Linked DNA regions of Mus musculus: regions 2, 3 and 4 are each reported to be linked to region 1. The links are microRNA targets in miRTarBase. Many come from high-throughput screens and were not tested one by one. Region 1 holds a microRNA gene; each other region holds the end of a gene's coding sequence. Distances are from middle to middle.
The links. The annotated mature microRNA mmu-miR-466e-3p reads UAUACAUACACGCACACAUAAGA and lies in region 1 at 1,448-1,470, shown strand. An mRNA with a match to its seed (bases 2 to 7 or 8) in the 3' UTR can be bound and repressed. Matches are read on the target gene's strand: a 7mer-m8 pairs with bases 2 to 8, a 7mer-A1 pairs with bases 2 to 7 and ends in A, and an 8mer does both.

Region 1 (3,185 bases):
ATGACCAGCATGGGATTCATCTTATGCCCACCAAAAATGTGCATGTGTGTATAGTTGTGTGCATATTCACTTCTCTATATGAATATGCATATACACACATGCACACACATTCATAGGAATGGCCAGAGCTATGTCTCAGTTAGGAGGTGAGCACTCTTGCCAGTGTCAGGAGGATGAGGAGTTCAAAATCATGTTTAACTTCATGATGAGTTAGAGTTCAGCATGCGATTCATGTGATGTCCACCAAGAATGTGCATGTGTGTATAGTTGTGTACATATTCACTTTTGTATATGAATATGCATATACTCACATGCAAACATACTCCCACGAATGGCCCGAGCTATGACTCAGTTAGGAGGTGAATACTCTTGCCAGCATCATGAGGATGAGCAGTTCAAATTCATGTTTAACTTTTTGATGAGTTAGAGATCAGCCCGGAATTCATGAGATTTTCCCTGTGTTTGTGTTTATGTGTATAGGGAAGTATGCCTGTACATGCACGTATATGAACATGCATATATATATATATATATATATATATATACATACATATATATATATATACACACACACACAACTAGGGACACATACATGTGCACACAAACACACATGGCAGTCATCCATTTGATTTATACGTGCTTAGAGTTTCATTGAGTTTATATTCATGGTATAGGGAAAAATCTCACTTATCAAATGAAAACTGTTTGCCAGAGTTAGGAGTCTCAGGAGGTCAAATTCATGCTTAACTTCATGATGAGTTAGAGATCACCCTGGATTTGTGGGATCGACCCTAGTTATGTACATTTGCATATAATTGTGTGTGCACGTACATGTGTATATATGATCATCCCTGTAAATACACACACATACAAATGTATTCACACATACAGGCATGCACACTCACACACATAAGAATGACACTCATTGATCCATTTGAATGATATATGTCTTAGAATTTTGCTGATTATAAAGTAGAGGGACAGTGAATATTCTCTCTCACCAGGTGTAAACAATTGGCAGTGTCAGGAAGATCAGGAGTTCAATTTTATGCTTAACTTCATGAGCAGTTAGAGATCATCCTGGAATAATGTGATGGCCCCTATGTATGTGCCTGTGTGCGTAAGTGCCTGCATGTATATGCGTGTATATTTTATGCATATACATACACACACCTACACACACATGCACACAGACATGCGGGAATGGCACTCACGGATCCATTTGAATGATATGTGACCTACTGCTTTGGAGGTTATGTATGACTGGGCCAGGGTGAGGTCTCACAAACCACGGGAAACCCTTGGTAGAGTCGGGAAGATCAGGAGTGCAAGTTCATGGTAAAGGCATGATGTGTTAGAGGTCATCCTGGCATTCATGTGATTGCCCCTATGTATGTGTGTATGTGTTGATGTGTGTGTACATGTACATATGTGAATATGATATACATATACATACACGCACACATAAGACACATATGAGCACACAGACACATGGGAATGGCACTCATCAATCCATTTGAGTGATAAGTGACTTAGAGTGAAAATGCTTGCTAGAGTTAAGGGTATCAGGAGTTCAAATTCATACTTATCCTCATGAGAGATCAGCCTGTGATTCCTCCATGTATGTGCATGTGTGTATAGTTGTGTGTGCATGTTCATGTCTATATTTGAATATACATAACATACACACACACGTATAAACGCAAGCACACATACACAGACACAGGAATGGCATTCGCCAATCCCTTTGAATGATAAGTGATGTAGAGTTTTAGCGATTATGCAATAGGGGACATTGAATGGTCTCACCCACCAGGTGTAAAAGATTGACAAAGTCAGGAGGATAAGGATTGCAAATTCATGCTTAATTCAGTTAGAGATCATCCTGGTATTCATGTGAGGCCACCCATGTATGTGCATGTGTGTTTACTTGTATATGCATTGCCTCTGTTGACATGATATACAAAATATAAACACACGTGTATATGCAAGTACAGACACAGAGAAAAAAATTGCATTCATTTATACGTTTGAATGATATGTGACTTAAAGTTTTAGATTATGCAGTTTGGGACAGTGAATGGTTTTACTCACCAGGTGTGAAAGATTGTGGATCAGGAGTTCAAATTCATGCTTTACTTCATGATGACTTTAAGATATGCCTGGGATTCATGTGATGCCCCTATGTATCCCTATCTGTATCTGTTTCTATTGTGTGTGGATTTGAGTATATGGATGTACCTATCTACACAAATATATACATGTACACAGACACAAACAGAAACACACACACAAACATCAGTGCAACTCATCGATCCATTTGAATGACGTGTGACTTAGAGTTTTAAGATTCCTCAGTACTGAATGGGGAGAGGTCTCACTCAGCAGGTGAAATCCCTTGACAGAGTCAGGTGGATCAGGAGTTCAAATTTGTGCTGAATTTCATGATGAGTTCATGACCAGCATGGGATTCATCTTATGCCCATCAAAAATTTGCATGTGTGTATAGTTGTGTGCATATTCACTTCTCTATATGAATATGCATATACACACATGCACACACATTCATAGGAATGGCCAGAGCTATGTCTCAGTTAGGAGGTGAGTACTCTTGCCAGTGTCAGGAGGATGAGGAATTCAAATTTATGTTTAACTTCATGATGAGTTAGAGTTCAGTATGCGATTCATGTGATGCCCACCAAGAATGTGCATGTGTGTATAGTTGTGTATATATTCACTTCTGTATATGAATATGCATATACTCACATGCAAACATATTCCCACGAATGGCCCGAGCTATGACTCAGTTAGGAGGTGAATACTCTTGCCAGCATCATGAGGATGAGTAGTTCAAATTCATGTTTAACTTTATGATGAGTTAGAGATCAGCCCGGAATTCATGTGATTTTCCCTGTGTTTGTGTTTATGTGTATAGGGAAGTATGCCTGTACATGCGCGTATATGAACATGCATATATATATATGTATATATATGTATATATGTATACACACACACACACACAACTAGGGACACATACATGTGCACACAAACACACATGGCAGTCATCCATTTGATTTATGCGTGCTTTGAGTTTCATTGAGTGTATATTCATGGTATAGGGAAAAATCTCACTTATCAAATGAAAACCACTTGCCAGAGTTAGGAGTCTCAGGAGTTCAAATTCA
Region 2 (3,185 bases), not on the chromosome of region 1:
GGGTGCCTGCCACAAGAATAAACCAGAGTCAGCAAGGAAACACAAACTGTCAGTTCTGGCCATGCTGACGACACAATGGCTTCCTGGGATGTCAGGCTGACCTGGGGACACACTGACTCCCACTTACTGTCAGGTGTTGCACAACGCCAAGTCTGAGGCCCAACAGAAAGATGTACACAGTAAAAAACAACCACCAAATCTCCCAGCAGGATGGCTGCTGTTTAATCTGCTGGTACCAGCATCCACCTGGGCCTCTGACACTGCTCCGGCTCCACCCCGACCCCTGCTGGTGGATACTGAAACTGCAAGTGGAGGTAGAAACCTCTCTTCTCTGGTTCTGCAGGACTGGCACCATCTACAGCTGTCACAGAAAGTGTGGGAAAGCATCAGGACTGGCACATGCATGTCCAGCCGCACCTCCATCCCAGGGTGCGTCTCTATCATTCAGGGGGTTGGGGAGTGACATTCACTCAGACCTGGGAACCAGGTTCAAGCCTTCCCTGACTCACCGCTTTCCCTACAGAGACTGCAGCTCTATTGTAACCTCACATTGAACCTGACCTCCCAGAACTGCCCCTTGGAGGGACACCCATTCTTAGCATCCACTGGTGGCTTTTGTGGTCAGCATCCATCTGTCACATGGACAGACATGGCTTTCCAGGACCTCTCAGTGCAGGTAGCTGCGTGGATGTCTGGAAGAGAGGCACCCCAGATAGCAGCAATAAAAGGGAGCACTGGTCATATGTGGTGTGGTGATTCCTTCCTAGTATTCAGGAGGTGGAAGGAGATACTTTGAGACAGAATCAATGTCCCCAATAGGAAGCGGCTAACCCTGGGCTAATGCAGCTTCCTTCCCAAGCACATTACTTCCTTACTAAAATAAAGTAAAAGTAAAAGCCAATTCTGATTTGGATACTAGGGGCCTGCTGTCTTTGCTTTCTTTTTTCTTGGGGCTCAGAGGTGCCACATTGGCACCAGGTTTGGACACATGTCAGGCTTCATGGCCTTAACAGAGAGCTTGCTAATCTTGTCCTGGGGTACTGATGACCAAAGTACTTTTTAAAATTACATTGTGTGTGTGTGACAGAGAGAGAGAGAGAGAGAGAGAGAGAGAGAGAGAGAGAGAGAGAGAGAGAGAGAGAGAGAGAGAGCCCAGTTCTCTGCTTCCTTCAAAGCTGTAAAAGGCTTATTAACGGACACCTCAGAATACGGGCTGGTTCAGGTCCATGTGGACCAGCATCTATCTCCTCCATCTGGGGCATCATAATGGGGAAAGGGTGTCGCTCTCAGAGCTCCATGGAGACCCTATGCTTCTGGGGAAGAGGTAGGCATAATGCACTCTTCACCTCTCCCAGTCTCCCTGGTCTCCTTAGGCTGTGGCTTCTCAGAAGATAGATATCTTAAGGACTGAGGAGCAGGGATATGGGTGCGGCTCGCAGCCATGATTAGGGACCCTAAACTCTGGAAAGCAGAGCCAGGAAGTTCACCCCCGAGCAGTAGACAATGGGACACGTCACAGTCCCCAGCTGGGGTCTAAGAGCTGCCCCTGCATACACAATGCCAATGTGCTCTGTAGAGGAGAAGACCTTCCAAGGAGGCAGAGGCCCTGGCTTCACATCAGGGCCCCTGGCCCCTCAGCATGAGGTGGGCACAGAATCCAGAAATGAGGGTGAGGGGAGTGGAGAAAACCCGCACTTCAGTCTGCCACCAGGGGGCAGGAGCCACCTCTGTCTCTCCTTCCCTGTCTGTCCAACCCCCTGTGCAGCAATGCACTGTCCCCAGCAGCATGTGGCAGGTGAACTGCCACCTGACAGTCCTGCAGGGGCTGTGTGAGTGCCCACAAGAGCCCAGTGAGAGCCGGGCATGGTGGTCCACGCCTTTAATACCAGCACTCGGGAGGCAGAGGCAGGCGGATTTCTGAGTTTGTGGTCAGCCTGGTCTACAAAGTGAGTTCCAGGACAGCCAGGGCTACACAGAGAAACCTTGTCTTGAAAAATCAAAACCAAAACCAAAACCAAAAAAAAAAAAAAGCCCAGTGAGGCAAACTTCCCTGAATTCCCAAGCTGCCCTGCACTCAGCTCCAGAGTTACAGGAGACCCTGCAGACACCCAGACGGCTTGCAGATGTCCTGGAATGTTCCCGTTCCTTAAAAGGTCCCTGTCACAGTGACCGCATGCTTGTGCAAGCACGGGGATATGAAACCTTCCCTCGCAGACCAGCAGCTGCATTCGTCTGACATTCTGGGACACCACCCAAAGAGCAGCAGAGACACAGAAACTCTAATGCAGGAACAAGGGAAAGACCAGAATGGCAAAGAAGATATTTGGCATAATTCTTCCAATGCCAACGGTTAAGACCTAACCCCATTTTAAAGACAGCGCCGACACAGGCAGAGTCTATACACAATCAGGACTGTGTATACATACACAGGGGGCAATGGCAGCCAGTGACCAACAGAAAGGTCCAGAGGCAGCAGGCTGGTCTCCTCCACCTACCTTCCACATACCTATGAGGCAACATGAGGCAGTCAGAGGCCCAGGGCCTTTGGGGAAGGGACCATGGTTGTGAATCACACATTTCTACGACGGCTTTGTCATTTTTTAAAAAAATAGCACAATGGCACATTTTTCACGCTAGAGACTGGCTGAGACCCGACTCTCGGGAAGGAACACGGATGTCGAGTTTCAGTCATGGCTCTAAGGCAGACGTTACAGCTTTTCACAGGGATGGAGACGGACACCTCAGCTGGCTGTGTGTCGGGGCGAGTGGGTGTGGTCCTCACAGCACTGTGGCCTGCACGACGATCTCGGGGTCCTCGATGTCCCTTTTGCTCTGGACCATCCTCAGCTCCAGCTGAGCGGGGCTGGGCTTCTGTCCTTCTCCTGCTTCAGCTGCAGAGCACAGGGAAGATCAGAGCAGGCAGGATGGAACCTAAGACACCCTTCCCTCTCCCATAGTTCTGAATTCCTGCTTCAGGAGGGGGTGCCACACTGCCCCCTGCTGCCTCACTTCTAACATAGCAGGAGGCAGAGGCTGGAAGGGAGAGCTCCCCCTCCCTCTTGTCCACCTCCAATCAGGGACTACTCCCGTGGAAGACAGAGCACAGACAGGTACCTTTTGCACACCGGATGGTCCTCTGTAGGACGTGCTGCATGGCAGACACGGTTTTCTCACAGGCCACCTAT
Region 3 (3,185 bases), 56 Mb from region 1:
AGGAAGAGGAGGAGGAGGAAGAAGAAGAGGAAGAGGAGGAGGAAGATGACGACGACGACAAGGGAGATGGCTTTGTAGAAGGGCTCGGAGCCCATACGGAGGTCGTCCCCCTTCCGTCTGTCCTTTGTTACTCTGATGGCACCGCAGTTCATGAAAGCCACACAAAAAATGCTTCATTTTACGCTAGCTCTTCAACTCTCTACTACCAAATAGATAGTCACATCCCAGGAACTCCTAGCCAGCTCTCTGACAACTATTCTGAAAGAGATACTGTCAAAAACGGTGCCCTTTCGCTGGTGCCTTACGCCATGACCCCAGAGAGGTTTGTTGACTACGCCAGGCAAGCAGAAGAGGCCTATGGAGCCTCCCACTACCCAGCTGCCAATCCGTCTGTCATCGTTTGCTGCCCCACCTCTGAAAACGATAGTGGGGTGCCCTGTAACCCCTTGTATCCTGAACACAGGTCCAATCTTCCCCAAGTGGAGTTTCACTCATACTTGAAAGGCCCTGCCCAGGAAGGGTTTGTTTCCACATTGAATGGCGACAGCCACATTTCAGAGCATCCTGCAGAAAATCCTTTGAGCCTTGCAGAAAAGAGCAGATTGCATGAAGAGTGCATTCAGTCCCCCGTGGTGGAAACGGTCCCCGTTTAGTTGCTTAAATTATTCTATTACAGGACCAAGTCTTCTATTTAAGGCACTGTATTGCCTTTGCTGGGCTCATCGTTGTTTAAACCTGAAGGCCAAGAGTTATGTGGACTGTGATTAATCTTCCAGACAGTATTTCCTTCCTTCCTTTCTAGCTTCCCAACTGTGGCGTGGCACAAATACAGTCGCTATGGGGATTTTAAACGATTTTGAACTGTTTTGATAGAAAAATGCTAAATTTAAAAAAAATGCATATCTTACAGTTGCCTACCTGTCAAACTGTGTGAAACCTGCCAAGCTATGCAGATCATAGCTCCAAGTTTTAGATTATCGGGCCTGTGCAAGATTGTTAACTAAGACTAGAAAACAAGCAGATTTAGAGTCCTAATTTTTCGATATATCTGAAGATGATGGTGACTTTTTAATGTAAAAGTAATTATTGTAAGAAAAAAAAAGATTGAATCGTTTCTTGTGTATTTTATTTATGGTAGTTTAGAAGTCATGCTTTGAAGAAAATGAACAGCATGTTCATTGAAGCTGAAGACGTGTTAGCTAGCACCACAGAGCATGCCCAGACGATTGCATCTGGAATCCACCCACATTTTTACGATCATGACTCAGCAGATTTGCAAATACTTTCTTAAGGATGAAATAGGCCTATTTTTGCTATTTGGGACAAATGAGTCTATACGTGCAGGTCCTTATGCAGTTTTCTCTCACGTTAAGAGTTAGGACAATCCTCTGGCGAGGGTCTAGTCCTCCGCTCTCCCTCAGCTGAGATAGACGGAATTGCCTTTCCTTTGTTAAACAGTGTCATCTTGTTTCTTAGCTTGGACAGCACCTTTAAACTCAACTCCCTCCTTCAGAATGCACTTTAGTGCCCCTTCACGGTACCTCGTGTGGGATGGGGTCTCAGAAGGCTTTGAAATATTTTTTTTTTAATTATTAAAAAAAAGTAACTAAGGTTCATACAATAGAGAGAGAGGATTCTTCCAATGACATGAAGGAAAATGACTTGTTTCTTGTTTTCCTTCACCGCTCTAGGACCTAACTCAATCCTTACAGCGAGAAGGCTGGGGGTGGGGGCAGAGCCTCAGCACCCCATCACCCTCTACAAATGCAAAAATGTGTAATGCCACTTAATGGCTAGCTGATTCAAGGCAGGCCTGGGCTCACTGACTCATTAGGCTTCGTTTTCTGGAGCTTTTTTTAAAAAAAAAGTCTGTCTTGCCTGGGGTAGTCAGCAGCACATCCCAGAATGCATTGCGAAGGCAGCCACCTCACCTTCTCTTCCTTAGTAAAGAGAACGAATAGAAAGGAGACACTCCCCGCCCGCCTGCTTCGAGCCTCACCTCAGAGGACTTGGAGCAACTTCTTTCCCATCAGCTTAAGCAGCTATAGAACGAGTGTTACGGTTTCCCCCATGCAGTTATTCTGCTGAATCTGTTTTCCAGTTTTGACATTGTATTGTGGCATCATTTCTCATACTTTATGGCTATTTAAAAACGCAGACACACCCCTACTTCGTAGTAACGGCGTCTTCTAAGTTTTTTATGCCTCCTTGATGTGGGCATTTGAATAACTTTCGGATTTCAGTTCCTTACAGAATACTATTTGATCTGACGAGGCTTGAATGTGCTTCAGAGTCCTCTGGTGGGAAGCCGCTACTTAAACTCCATGTGGGGAAAGTACGTTCGCTTGTGGAGTTGTTTCTTCTCTAAACCACCTCAAGACTAAATAAATCAACGCTAATTTTTACTACCATTAAAAGGACTTTGGGTTTGTCATGCTATTGAAAGCAGTAATGGGGGCTGACTACTCCTTTTGGTTGACCGGTGGGGCTAATCTGGTGGGAATTCTGTGGTAATATGTCCAGAGTTCTCTGCAGCGTTGCCATCAGTAGCATTTGGTTTCCAGTTAGGCTGCCTCCTGCCCACACAATCTAAAGGGCAGGGGCTCAGAGAAGAAATGACAAAAAGCTATTGTTCCTTCGTTCAAGCTAATGAAAGAATTCTGTGTTCCATATTTGCTGGGCCATTCCAACCTCTGGAAGTATCTCCTGGTGAGACACTCGCAGGCTATTCTTGGAACAGAGTGTGGGGCGGCCCCGGGTAATCCTGACTAAGGTAGAGTTGATTTGGTGAATGACAGTCCACTTCCTGGATCCTCAGAGATGTTTCTTTCAGTCCAGCTTTATTTTCACAAAGTTTGGAGCATTTTTGTATCTCATTTGGTTTTTCTTTTGTAGTCCTTGCTTTTCAGAAACAGAGCTTTCTTCCTTTCTCTATTCAAGTGAGATAAAAAGTTTCACTCTGCTAAGGATAATTACCTTTCTAAGCATGAAAACAGACATGCTAAGTTTTCACATCCCTAAGTAGACATCCCTCATGAATCAGAATCGTTACAGGCCATCTATTTTAGCAACAATAGCAAATCAAACCCTACTTGCCTTATCTTTATTAGACACACACAAACACAGAATACACATACAACATCCTCTAGAGAGGGGCAGATTGTGGGCAGTAGGTAGTAATGAAT
Region 4 (3,185 bases), not on the chromosome of region 1:
TGATCCATTAGCACTAATAAAGTCTCCACCTCCTTCATATTATTTAAATTTCAAATTAGGCTAATAGCATAGACTTGACTGTTGGTTCTCTACTGTGCTTGTAGTATAGTGTAGTTTTATTTACAAATAACAATTAACTGTTTCTAGGTCTTCAATTTCCTAAACTTGTTGTATCTCAACAGCCATGCTTTGCCATTTGCAGTCTTTTTTGATTGACCAAAATCATTGTCTGGCTTACTTTTGATTTCCTCTTTTAAGTAATCAGTGTAACCAAAAGCAGTCCTTAAAATACCCTCACCAGTATTTTCTCCCCAACTCAGGGCACATACGTGCTTCAACCGATTGGATCTCCCACCATACCCTTCATATTCCATGTTGTATGAAAAGCTGTTAACAGCAGTAGAAGAAACCAGCACCTTTGGACTTGAGTGAAGACGTGGAGCCTTGCCTGGCATTGTCCTGAACAGTGACACCACCCTCTCTGGGATGACTTACTCCCTCCTTTGACTTTGGTATTCCATGATTTTTATTTCAAAGCAAATTAGAATTGGCAAAAGCTGTGCATGAAGAATTGCCTTCTTCTAAGATCTAATCTTCAGGCTTATCTCCTCTGTTTCCAATGAACTGCTAGCCTGTATGCAATACTACAAAACAGCTGTCTCAAGGTCTGTGTATACTTCCACATACCTCCATTCCTAACAATGAAATATGAGTGCAAGTTATGCTACACTTGACGAAATGGTAATAAATGTTTACTTCCATTTCTATCATTTAAAGATAATTTGAGCTGTAAGCATTCCATGCTTTTAAATGCCCATGTCTTCCAAACAGAACCTCCATTTTTCCTAATTTCTAGCAACTATTTCCAGACCTGGGAGCTGACTAATTTTTTCCTTTCTATCTCTACATTTCCTATTCATTCTATCCAAATGGACAGCCAAGGCCACACAGAAACGTTTTCTTCATTCAACTCATGATTCATAGTGGTATCAGCCCCATCAGCCAGAACTAACCTAGACATATGGTGCAAATATGAAACTTCCAGCAATTAACAACAGCAAGAAGGAAAAGGTTATCAGTAAATCCAAGGGTTATATGGACTATGAAATCAACTTGAGTTCAGAAAAGTGAGGTGGGGGATCTGCCCTGGTGAACCCTCACCACCCAAGAAGCACAAACTTGTGTACCATGTTCAAGGAGCAAATCCTAATTGCTGTAGATTGAAGGATGAGCCTTTACCTCTAATTTTGTCACCATAAAAAGTGATAAGGCAAACAGGAAAAAGGACAGGACATATGACATTTATTCCAATCGATGAATTTTGTTTAATCTATTCTCACGCACACATAGTCCAAATAAATCTCATGGCTTTTGTTGCAGCCAAGTTTATTTACGTGATAGGCCAAACTTTTGCTTCTTTTTAGCTTTGATACTTTTCTCATTCTTTTTTTTTTCCTTTCCTTTCCTTTTTTTAAATCATGGTGTTCAAATTCTGTCACATCTGATGTTCACAGACACCACATACAAAGCTGCAGAGCACGATGGTGCTTGTTAAGGATCACGGGCAATATAAACTTTTCCTTCATCCTTAGTGATTCTTCAAAGGCACGCTGACTTGTGTCCACAAAAAAAAAATCCATTTTTTTAAAGCATTCAGCAAAATATTTAAGAAAATGTGTTTTTAGAAAAACAATCACAGGCTCCACAGACAGCCTGGCATCTTAAGTACATTTGAGATAAATTTAACCATAATGGTCATTTGCTATTTTTTGTAACCATGTTATCCATGTTGTCTGAAATACGACATAAATGAAAGTGGTTTTTCTTCACTGGGAAAAAAAAAAGCTAAAGAGACCCAACTATTTAAATATTCATTGTTGTAGTCAACATATTAAAATAAAAGAACAAGTCTGAGAATGTAAAGCTAACTTAGGATGAAGCCATGCCTCGTGGCTCAGTACAGCAGTGTGTTTTGTTCCTGCACATTAAAATATTTTCTTAGTAAAAATTATTCACAATGCCAAGACACTCTGTGTTCCTGTGTTTCTTTGTTAAGCAAGAAGTATATATGATACAAACTTAGTTTTCTATTGCTATCAAAAATAAGTTTTACTAAAAAATGGGATGTACATTGTATGAAACACAGCTTGAGGGGTAAGATTTGGCCCATATTTCAGAATCTGAAAAATAAGTCCAATGGCGCTGTTATTTACTAATGAACTCGGAACAAAAGCACTGCTAAAGTCATTTTCACTAAATCTTTAACTCCTAGAATAGCATATTTAGAATTCATCTTATACATACATAAAAACCTCACAAAAAAATTCAACCATTCAAGTTTTTTACCACTGACTTGCCATACATTGAAAAGGAGAATGTTGTTCAAATGTAGGAAGCTGCTCCTGAAGAGCTTTACAATTTGCAGAAATGAGACAATCTATTAAATAGATTAATATATAGTCTACCAACATACAGAAGGAAGAAATTTTCTTAGAAATGACATGTGAATAAGAAACTCAGATAAATGCATTTTTAAATTAATTTTTAGTTATACCTCTACCCTTATGCAAGGTTCTACACAAATCCCAAGAGCAATAGCATTTCTAACATACTCGTTTTAATTATTTGAAGTTATTGCGATGTATTTCAATCATATTCACCTAACACTCTTCTCCCTAACTCCTTGTTCATTCACTCCCCAATATTCCATTCCTTCTCAGTGTCATGTCATTTTTTAATGACCCATTGAGTCCAATTTGTGCTGTTTGTCCATATCTTAAATTAGTATGAGGTCATCCCCTGGAAGATATAAATGTATCATTTTGTGTGTGTGTGTGTGTGTGTACATACACATATACATATTTGATTGTCATAGCCGGCCGCAGTGGTGCACCTTTATGGCATTAAAATGCCTTTAATCCCAGCACTTGGAAGGCAGAGGCAGGCAGCGCTCTGTGAGTTCAATGCCAATCTGGTCAACAGAGCAAATTCCAGATCATCCAGAGTTACCTAGTAAGACTCTAAAAAAAAAAAAAAAAAAGACAAAAGGAAAGAAAGAAAACTGACTCTTAGCAGCTATCGGCTGTCAATAGCTCCTCAGATAGGGCTGGGGACTTGTGAACCCCTCTTTATATACTAATAGTATTCTAGAAAAATTAAAAATGTCATTTATACTGACACCAAAG

Region 2: the mRNA of Pdxk is a reported target of mmu-miR-466e-3p. Seed matches in the 3' UTR shown: 8mer at 2,418-2,425.
Region 3: the mRNA of Csrnp3 is a reported target of mmu-miR-466e-3p. The part of its 3' UTR that is shown has no 7-base or 8-base seed match.
Region 4: the mRNA of Hecw1 is a reported target of mmu-miR-466e-3p. The part of its 3' UTR that is shown has no 7-base or 8-base seed match.

What each region holds. Positions count from the first base shown.
Region 1 is chr2:10,477,691-10,480,875 of GRCm38, forward strand. It overlaps Mir466e (microRNA 466e), which reads left to right and starts at 1,398; the gene lies at 1,398-1,481. The region is part of intron 10 of Sfmbt2 (Scm-like with four mbt domains 2); the gene reads left to right. It overlaps Mir669j (microRNA 669j), which reads left to right and starts at 220; the gene lies at 220-340. It overlaps Mir467a-2 (microRNA 467a-2), which reads left to right and starts at 1,108; the gene lies at 1,108-1,190. It also overlaps Mir669a-4.
Region 2 is chr10:78,438,023-78,441,207 of GRCm38, forward strand. It overlaps Pdxk (pyridoxal (pyridoxine, vitamin B6) kinase), which reads right to left. Exons shown (of 11, transcript NM_172134.2): 10 at 3,115-3,181; 11 at 1-2,891. The coding sequence ends at 2,779. Among named protein-coding and RNA genes, the nearest start is that of Mir6410, 4.8 kb to the left of the region's middle.
Region 3 is chr2:66,022,371-66,025,555 of GRCm38, forward strand. It overlaps Csrnp3 (cysteine-serine-rich nuclear protein 3), which reads left to right. Exons shown (of 7, transcript NM_153409.5): 7 at 1-3,185. The coding sequence ends at 653. Among named protein-coding and RNA genes, the nearest start is that of Gm52514, 95 kb to the left of the region's middle.
Region 4 is chr13:14,227,896-14,231,080 of GRCm38, reverse strand. Hecw1 (HECT, C2 and WW domain containing E3 ubiquitin protein ligase 1) reads left to right here. Exons shown (of 29, transcript NM_001081348.3): 29 at 321-3,185. The coding sequence ends at 432. Among named protein-coding and RNA genes, the nearest start is that of Gm26129, 140 kb to the right of the region's middle.